Arabidopsis thaliana: one gene and its partner. The protein of the gene in region 1 purifies or fractionates together with the protein of each later gene. This does not show direct contact. Each region holds a gene or a part of one and is shown in the gene's direction. Other genes may lie near its edges. The genes, in order: SYP21 and SYP51.

Evidence for each region.
Region 2: the proteins of SYP21 (region 1) and SYP51 purify together in Arabidopsis thaliana (affinity purification with western blotting; 2 studies listed by BioGRID, with this or other methods). This does not show direct contact.

The regions. Positions count from the first base shown.
Region 1 is NC_003076.8:5,532,142-5,537,323, reverse strand, and holds SYP21 (syntaxin of plants 21), read left to right. Parts: upstream 1-2,028; 5' UTR 2,029-2,171; coding exon 2,172-2,380; exon of another isoform or gene 2,381-2,731; coding exon 2,732-2,825; intron 2,826-3,028; coding exon 3,029-3,165; intron 3,166-3,393; coding exon 3,394-3,468; intron 3,469-3,730; coding exon 3,731-3,888; intron 3,889-3,986; coding exon 3,987-4,087; intron 4,088-4,182; coding exon 4,183-4,248; 3' UTR 4,249-4,478; downstream 4,479-5,182. Other genes in the region: BPA1 (binding partner of acd11 1), read right to left, coding at 1-7, 231-300, 460-569, 1,277-1,282; HSF3 (heat shock factor 3), read right to left, coding at 4,827-5,182. UniProt on the Arabidopsis thaliana protein: May function in the docking or fusion of transport vesicles with the prevacuolar membrane.
Region 2 is NC_003070.9:5,554,072-5,558,786, reverse strand, and holds SYP51 (syntaxin of plants 51), read left to right. Parts: upstream 1-1,942; 5' UTR 1,943-2,153; intron 2,154-2,172; exon of another isoform or gene 2,173-2,336; intron 2,337-2,426; exon of another isoform or gene 2,427-2,441; 5' UTR 2,442-2,446; coding exon 2,447-2,661; intron 2,662-2,756; coding exon 2,757-2,962; intron 2,963-3,053; coding exon 3,054-3,154; intron 3,155-3,233; coding exon 3,234-3,278; intron 3,279-3,472; coding exon 3,473-3,604; 3' UTR 3,605-3,944; downstream 3,945-4,715. Other genes in the region: AT1G16250 (Galactose oxidase/kelch repeat superfamily protein), read right to left, coding at 90-663, 842-1,417, 1,572-1,573; AT1G16230 (Target SNARE coiled-coil domain protein), read left to right, coding at 4,463-4,677. UniProt on the Arabidopsis thaliana protein: Vesicle trafficking protein that functions in the secretory pathway.

The DNA.
Region 1 (5,182 bases):
TCGCTCCCTGAAATAACACCCCTTGTTAGTAATGCAAATTGCAAATGGTCCCAAATATTAGTTGTAAGCAAACTAATTTTACTTATAAATACTCAGAGATACTTTGTCTGGACTAGAGAAGTATAACCATATTAAACGAAGGTTTATAGACATGGATTGATTACTAAATTAACAGTGTTATGTAAGAGTTGAATGCTACTACAATAATATTGAGATAAGAGTGAACCCACAGATAAGAGCACAGCAGTCTCTGCTCCTTGAGTTTCTTTAAATGTGACATAAGCACTATGCTCGTTACTGCTAGTTAGAAAAAGAAAACAAAAACAAAGCTCAGAGTCAGTAAGTTTAAGAGAACTGTATCTAAATTTGCTGAGAAAAAGCTTCGGAAGTTAATTGATCAAAAAAAGCTTTAAATGTCAAAATTTTGAAATCAAAGAACAAGGAAACAATATCACTAACCTTTGGATATCGATGCTTTCAACTTCACCAGAGAAAGAGAAAAACTCTTTAATATCATGCTCAGTTGCTCCTGAAGAGAGATTGCCAACTTTTACTGACCTTACCTGTGACTGTCATCATAAAGAATCAAAAGGGAAAGAATCATTAACGAAAACAATAAACAGGTGTTTCATGAGAATGTTTACAGTACAACTACTTTTTGTATCCAAGCATATCTAATCGACCGAAAGTCCCATTTTAATCAAATCAGCTCAAACTCAAAGAAGCCTAGATTTATCACAAGATTATACAATTATGCAAGTAAAGGGATAATATTATAGTGGCTTAGAAGATGACTGTCATCATCTCACTATACAAAAAGAAAACTCGAATGAACCATGAAGGCTACCAATTAAGGAAACTAATCGACAATGTATGGAGGAATCTAAAAGTAAATTGGCTAGCGAGATTCGGTTCCAAATTGAGAATAACACAATCGCGATTTACTACGATAAACGAAAACCAAAACCGAGAAATCAAGGAGATAATAGAGATAATTGCACGAATACAGATCACACAGAGATACAGAATCAATTAATAACGACAATAATAATCATCAAACTCGTCCAAATAGCATTGGAGATATTATGTCGGCAAGTGCAGCAATCAAACAACAGATCATCCAAATTGAAGAAGAAATCAAATCAATAGCCAAAAATATCAATCCTGAGAAAATTTCCCGATAAACAAATGGATCGCAACAATATCTACCAGCAGAGGAAACCTAAACCTTTTCCGCATAAAACAAAATTATACACAAAAAAAAAGTAGAGCATACCGCCATGGATGTTGATCTTCGAAGTCGCGCAGAGAGAGAGATATGTAATTTGTTGCTTTTGTCACGCAGATTCAGAGATTGGCCTGAAAACCGAAACGTACTTCGAGATCGATGATGCGTAGATAGATAGAGAGGGAAGAGTGTATTTTGCTTTATATGACACCTCACACTCAACGTGTGGGTTTGCGTTACGCCCTTTAATCCTATTTTAGTCCCTAATTGTTTCCAACAATTAATATTTTCACTTTTTTAGTATATATTTCTATTTTTTCCCTCTTCAGTTCAAAACAAAAGTTAGGAGTTTCGTAACACAATTATTAAGTTTATGTTTTATTAGAAAAAAATACATAAAAATTTTACTTTTTATCAACAAAAATATATCATTGTTTTTCTATAAAAAGTGGTTTATGTATCAAAGTGATTACTGTAATTATTAATTCAGTCATAAAATATGATAACTTGGTAATTACAAAAAAGTTGGACTTCTCCTTGTTTTTGGCCCAACTCTTCTCTTTTCCTTTTACTAAACTCCAATGTAGCCCAAAATCATTTAACCAATCCTTATCCTGCAAACCCACTCAATTGGTCCGGTTTACTCGAACCGAGTTTCAATTTTACACGGAAGGGCAGGTGAGGTCAACAACGACACGCAGGATTCTTCCCTCGCAATGGCGTGTCACCGCCAAATAATTTATACGTATTAATAAATTCCCTCCACCACCATATTCACGCGGACCACATGAGATTAAATGATTTATACAAATTATAAAACAAAAATTAACATTAAATTTTGGGAAAACTTATAATTCACCTAACTCATTTCCATCATCTTCGTCTTCGTTTGTTCCCCTGAGATAGAGATAAGAGAATTTCGAGAGATTCGAGAGAAGAGACGATGAGTTTCCAAGATCTCGAAGCTGGTACTCGATCTCCGGCGCCGAATCGTTTTACCGGTGGGAGACAACAGAGACCTTCGTCTCGTGGGGATCCATCTCAGGAGGTCGCCGCCGGGATTTTCAGGATCAGCACGGCTGTCAATTCCTTCTTCCGCCTCGTTAATTCGATCGGAACACCTAAAGATACTCTTGAATTACGAGATAAGCTGTCAGTAGCAATTCTTAATCACACTCTTCTTCTCTTTGTTAAATCTCTGTTGATTAGGGTTTTGGTTTTACTTATTGATTTTGGTCGATTTCATTTCAATTTTTAATTGAAAAAGTTTTCTAATTGTTTTGAAGCTAATCCTGCATTATTTTCCCTTAACCGAAGAACAAATTTGAGTTTGCTGATCGATGTGAGACAACATTGCAAATAATGCCTGACAACATTGCAAATAATGAGCTTTTTGTGTGTGTGTGTGTGTGTGTGTGTATTGAGAAATTGTTTTTTTTTTAGATTGGTTTCATCTATTTGTTCTGTGAATTGTTTTAAAGTGTTAGGTTCTTTTGTTGGCAGGCAAAAGACAAGGTTACAGATATCCGAATTGGTGAAGAATACTTCAGCTAAACTTAAGGAAGCTAGCGAAGCCGACCTTCATGGATCAGCTAGTGTAAGCAAATGCTTACTTTTTTGTTTCATTCCCTTACGATGCTATGGAATGTTAGTGTCTAAGAGAACATTTTCTATTGAACCAGTTTTATTTTGGTTTAATTTTGTCAGAATCGTACCATTTTATTCATTTAGTGGGAGAATTGTTTACATGATTGATGATATGTGTATTCTAGTTTTGATGTTATGTTTGTATTCTTGCAGCAAATTAAGAAGATAGCTGATGCTAAACTGGCAAAAGATTTCCAATCAGTTCTCAAAGAGTTTCAGAAAGCTCAGAGACTTGCAGCTGAAAGAGAAATAACATATACTCCTGTGGTCACAAAAGAAATACCTACCAGGTAACCACTTTGACCAGTTATGTTTCAATACCTGTTAAAAAACAGAAGATCATGGTAAATGAATCTCGTTGTTTCCTAAATGAGAAGAAAAAAAGTCTCCGGATTATATACTCGCATGTTATTATTGTTGTTTTGTACAAAAGAATTTTTGAACGTAGGATTGTTCTGATATTTTGTGGAATGTGAGTTTCACTTACACATGCTTCATTGTCATGCCACACCATGCAGTTATAATGCACCTGAACTGGATACTGAATCTTTAAGGATCTCCCAGCAGCAAGCTCTTCTTCTACAATCAAGAAGGTGAGGAGTGTGATTTGATTATATGCTAGCATGTTATTTTACTAATTCATTTGATCAATTATAAGCATAAACCAAATGTTAGTCTAGCATGCATTTTGCTCTCGAGAGTTCAAATTCAAACCATCGTTACACTTGGCACTCACTGTAGCCTGAATTGTTAATAGAAGCCTTAGAATAGGTTAATAAATTTTTCGAAGTTGGTTATGTCCCTGGATGCAGGGAGATGCTTGCTATTCGCTAACTTTTTATATTCTCATTCCAGGCAAGAAGTGGTGTTTTTAGATAACGAGATAACATTCAATGAAGCAATTATTGAGGAAAGAGAGCAAGGGATTCGAGAAATTGAAGACCAGATTCGTGATGTGAATGGCATGTTCAAAGATCTAGCTCTTATGGTGAACCATCAAGGAAATATTGTCGGTAAGTAACTCCAAACAATCAGAAATTGTAAATCTCCCTGTTCGTTTTCTCTTTGCCTTTTTAAAGTCTCAGAAAAAAACTATAATGTGCACTGGCAGATGACATCAGCTCTAACCTTGACAACTCACATGCTGCAACTACACAAGCCACTGTTCAACTCAGAAAAGCAGCTAAAACTCAAAGATCAAACTCCTCTTTGGTACGGACTAAACAGACTCTCTTCTCATTTTCAGTTCTGTGATTTCATATTCTTAGCAGCTTAAGCTAAGTTTGTTGTCTTTTACTTTGTTGCAGACATGCCTACTTATTCTCATTTTTGGGATTGTTCTACTCATTGTCATCATCGTTGTCTTGGTCTAAGCATCAAACATATAACTCCAAGCTTCAATCTTCAAGCATCAAGCGAATCTATGGAAACTATACAAAGACCCATTAAAGATATATATCTAATGTACAGATTCTTTATACTCCATCTTCCCCATTCAACCAAATTGATCTTAACTTCTCATCGTGTGAATGTTTAATCAATGTATTACTCCATCATAAGGATCTTCATGATCAAAAGAAATAAACATAAGAAAATAATCTTGATTTTTTGGTCATTAACCGGTCAGTGACCAACAGATTACCGTACTAGTGAGATGATAATTGAACAAGATGAACGTTTTCACACAAAAGTATAATATAAACAACACAAAAACCGATCTCTACTAACTATTCACAAGCTTGGTGGTAAATCTTTTATGTTTCTTCTCTCTGTTTTTTTTTCATTTAAGTAAAAATGTAAAGGGTATACACACCATCTGATATATTCCTCGTTCCTTCATATCTCCTTTTGCAACCTCCCCTGAAAATCTACATTGTGAGAGACAATTGATAACTCTCAAGATATACAACAATGCAGAGAAACATGTTTGAACTTAACGATGTTCTTACCTTTATTTCCTCTGTGCTTCTGAGGAAAGCAGTCCCATTTGTTCAGTAAGATACTTCATTTGTTGTTCATTACGGGTCCACTCGTTTGGTTCTTGTTCCAATACCAAGTCATTATTCTCCACTGATCCTGATAGAATATCGTCTGTATCTGCAATCGCTGGGAGTTCAACAGAAAAGAACTGTTCCCAGAATGGATCTTGGATTCCGGGCAGCTTAGGGACTCCCTCCAGTAACTCATTCATCTTGCCCTCACCTTCAGGAGAAATTGCATCGCCTTCTGACTCATCTAAAACAGCCATTATTGGATCAAAACACTCTCCACTATCTGTCTCGCATCCAACTAAATCAAATTCAGGGC
Region 2 (4,715 bases), on another chromosome or scaffold:
CCTTTTAACTACTTTTACATCTCACGATGCAACAATCAAAGAATTGAACATACCAATTTTATACATCAAGAAAGATTCTATCACCTTGGTTAAGGGGGAGAAGATTCTTCCAAGGATACACAACCAATGATCGACCCACCGGCTGGAATGCACATTGGTTTGGTCTCTCTCCAATTCAGAGGTCTATCCAAAGGGTTACATACCCTCACAACAGGCAATCTCACAATGTCAAATCTCCCTGCCCCTGATTCTTCCCATTTAAGGACCTTACCTCCTATAACATAGAGTTCATTCCTTAGAGCTGCAAACCCATAACCGAAGGCTTCTAACTCTCTCGGATGATTAGGAAGAACAACAGAAGGAACTGAACCAACATTGTACCATTCCCCTTCATCTGTATCCCTAGTCTTGATCAAGCTTTCTCCCCAATCTACAATAGTATACACCCGATCATTTTTCATCACCTGAACAGCAAACTGCATGGCTCTAGAGAAAGGCCAGACATCCTCCACAGTGGACCAAGTCATGTCTCGTGGATTAAAAACTTCAGATGAATTTTGCTCTGCAAATCCCACCTGGTCACTTAAAACATGAAAGCAGCCTCTGTACGATAACCCCGAGCAGTCCATCTGTGGTCTAGGCATTGCTGGTAATTCCTCCCACCTGCAATACTACTATGTCATACTCCAGTTTGATAGCTTTTCAGGTGAAACATGAGAAAACTTTTAAAACTATATCTTGACCCATCATAGAAAAAAACAAAAAGAGTACATTGTGGGGTTAAATATGCCAGTTCTATCCTACACGAGAATATAAACCACATTAGTGTGGGAAAAAATACCTATCAGCGACAGGATCATAAACCTCAGCAGATGGGATTCCCCTGGAATGAGTTAAATTACGACCTCCAGCAACATAAACCTTGCCAGAGACAGAAGTACAAGCAAAGTGAGTCCGTGGTGTTCGCATACTAGCAACCATTTTCCATTGTTTCTTAAACGGATCAAACCGCATGACATCTTTAGTGACAACAGGCTTCTGATGAGGAAACGATGACACCGAAGGCGCATAACAACCCCCAATCACAAGAAGACAATTGGAAACACAAACACACGCAAAACCAGAATGATGCCAACCATCTTGAACAGCTCTAGTTCTAGGCAATGGATGCCATCGATCAGCTTCAGGATCATAAGCAACCCACTGATTCTTAGAACGTTCCGTCAACACAAACAACCAGCTCCCTGACCATCCATTTCTAGCTTTATAGCACGAGTAATCAGCACCACGAACTAAATCTCTCCAGCCTCTGGAAACACATTCGAGCACTCCATGATACCCATGAGAAAGCTTCGCTATGCATCTCAAAGCCAAATCATCAGGCAAACCTGGGATTATAGACTGCTCGATTGATTCCCTGAAAACAAGTTTCAGCCACTAACGATCAGACTTATTCAATCAATAATCAACATTCAATGTTTTAAGACAAAACATGATTTTGAAGAGAAAAGGTAAAGGATTGAGATTTAGATTCAACTTTGTGAAGGAAGAACAAGAGAGCTAACACTTACATGAACCGAATCGTACTCGAGAGATTGTAAATGTATCTTCTGATCCCCTTCTCGAACTTGCTTTAGAACACCAAAATCGCGCTTCAAAGTTTATCACTTTCCCGGAAACAAAAACACCATTAACGATAATCGAAACGGAAACTGCAATCAGAACGATATAGTTATGATGGAACTAAGCACAGTCAGAGAGAAACTCAGGATTCTGGCAAGGAAGAGAGGAGACGGAAGAAACAGGCATGAGATGGATAGATCCATTATAATGGGTCGAAAATTTAAATATTCTTTATTGATCCCTTCATTTATATGTTCTTTCTGCTTCTTAACGCATACTTTCTTAAATAACTAATTTAACCCATAACTTTTCCAAGATAACAAGTTAAAACCGCGTCGTTTTATTTCAGCTTCGTCTTTATCTCATCTTTCTTGCGACGGGCCCTGCTACCCGGTGCGTGACAGGTTGAATCATTCTCCTCCGATTCACGGTGATTCCGGCGACTACAGACTCAACATTTAATAAGCCGATCTCTTACATGGTACGAGCTCGGACAAATTGAAGAATACAAAGGTCCGAGAAATAATTTGGTAAGCAATTCGATCCTTTAAACGATGTTATTTTTGTCAATCCGAGTCATTGATGAGGGATTATATCTGTTACTGAATCTCTCTGATCTTCCCCTGATAATGGACTTCATGATCCTGTAAATTTCAGATTTTGAGCCTTGTGCCTCAAAATTGTAGTCAAAGGCCGCGTTTTTGTCTCAATTTGTAGATCTTTGTTGTTGTTTCTGTTGGATCTTACGTATATATCCTTGATCATTTTAAAATTTCAATGGAAGTGATCCAGGCTTTGATTAGCTTTTAATTATATAGGAATAATGGCGTCTTCATCGGATTCATGGATGAGAGCATACAACGAGGCTTTAAAACTCTCTGAGGAGATTAATGGAATGATATCAGAAAGAAGTTCATCGGCTGTCACAGGGCCTGATGCTCAGCGTCGTGCTTCAGCTATACGAAGGAAGATCACCATTTTCGGTAACAAATTAGATAGTCTGCAGTCTCTTCTTGCTGAAATTCATGGAAAACCTATGTAAGCCATTTACTAGTCCAATCCTAATTGCTTAAATCTGTAAATTAGACACCTTTAAGGTTAGTGTTAATCTGAATTATTACTTACTGACACAGTTCAGAGAAAGAGATGAATCGGCGAAAGGATATGGTAGGGAATCTGAGGTCAAAAGCAAACCAGATGGCGAATGCTTTGAACATGTCAAACTTTGCCAATAGAGACAGCTTGCTCGGGCCAGATATCAAGCCGGATGATTCCATGAGCAGAGTTACTGGCATGGATAACCAAGGAATTGTTGGATATCAACGACAAGTTATGAGAGGTAAAACCTCTCTTATCCTAGTAAACGTAATACAGATGTTGATTTCTGTATTTGTTTTTTCCTATTGAATGTTTTATTTTCCTGTGAGTAGAACAAGACGAAGGACTTGAGCAATTGGAGGGAACAGTCATGAGCACAAAACACATTGCTCTGGCTGTTAGTGAAGAGCTTGACTTGCAGACTAGGCTTATTGTATGTCACTAGCTTTTCATTTTTTCGCCTTTGATTTGAATTTTCGGATACTAACACATTTGGATTTTCCTTTATGCAGGATGACTTAGATTACCATGTGGATGTTACTGACTCTCGCTTAAGGGTAATATATGCTTCAACTCTTAAATATTTCAACAAACTAATTACTTTGGTGAATCCCAAGCTTTAGTTGATCCATACTTTCATTAGGAGTAACACTGATGTAATGGTGATCTGTTTTCGGTTTGCTCAACCAAGAACCACATTATGCTTAAGCTAATGGCTAATTAAAGACATTGATCTGTTATCTTATTACAGAGAGTGCAGAAGAGCCTTGCTGTCATGAACAAGAATATGAGAAGTGGTTGCTCTTGCATGTCAATGCTCTTGTCAGTGCTGGGGATCGTCGGTCTTGCTGTTGTAATATGGATGTTGGTTAAGTATATGTAATACCAACATCAGACAACTTATAAGTTCCTCTGTAGGTCCACTGGCCTCTACTCTCTATGTGAATGGTTGCAATGTATTTCCTCATTCCACATTTGTGGCTGAGCTTTTCATTTCTCTTCTGTTACCAAAACCCTTTAAGTAATATATAATGTGTGCAGTTATCACAGTTTGCTCTTTGCTGTCTTCATAAAGATTTAAGAAGTGGTAGCAAGTCAAACACAGAGACAAAAAAACAAAAATTATCTGTAGAATCTTCCACGAAGAAACTTGTCTGAGTTTGTTATAAGAAGAACATTGTGGAAATTTTGTAAAACACCAATATTCATATCATCATCACTGGAAACAAAATTCGCAAAATACGTATCTGATCCTTCATTTTATACATGTGTACTGTTTCTTAATCTCTACATTTGTAAGAGGCAAAACAAGAGATAGTGTAATGCATGTTCCTTTTTTTATTTCGCCAAGAATTGTCAACGTAGGCCTACCTTTCTACGATCATATAAGTAATGGTCTCGTATTTAGAAGATGTCTTCTTTCGAAGGAAACTGCCGTCTGGCTGCGTGGCTACAAAGTCAGCACTCAGCAAGTTGATCTCTTTCTCAATGACAATGATGTATTATTTAAAGGTCCTTGGTGAGCAATTTGATTCTCTTTTAGAGATATATATGTTGCTGAATTGCTCCGATCTTCCTTTAATACATGTGCCAATACCATTATCGAAGTTGTTGCTTCTTGTAAGCTAGTTGGATTTTTGTTGTTCTTATTGTTGCATTTATATACATCCTTGGTAAAGTTAAAAGTTGTCTGAAAGTGATCTGTATTGGATTTTTGATTATGTAGGATTAATCAAAGTCAATGGCTTCTTTGTGTGATTCATGGATCAGAGAACAGAATGAGACTTTAAAACTCTCAGAGGAGATTGATGGAATGATATTAGAAAGAAGTTCACTGGCCGAAACATCATCTTATGCTCTACGTCATGCTTCATCGATGAGAAGAAAGATCACCATTTTGGCAACCCGAGTTCAGACTCTAAAGTATCTTCTTGCTGAAAGTCAAGGAAAATCTATGTAAACTTGATAATTTTTAAGTTTAATGTTTGATATGT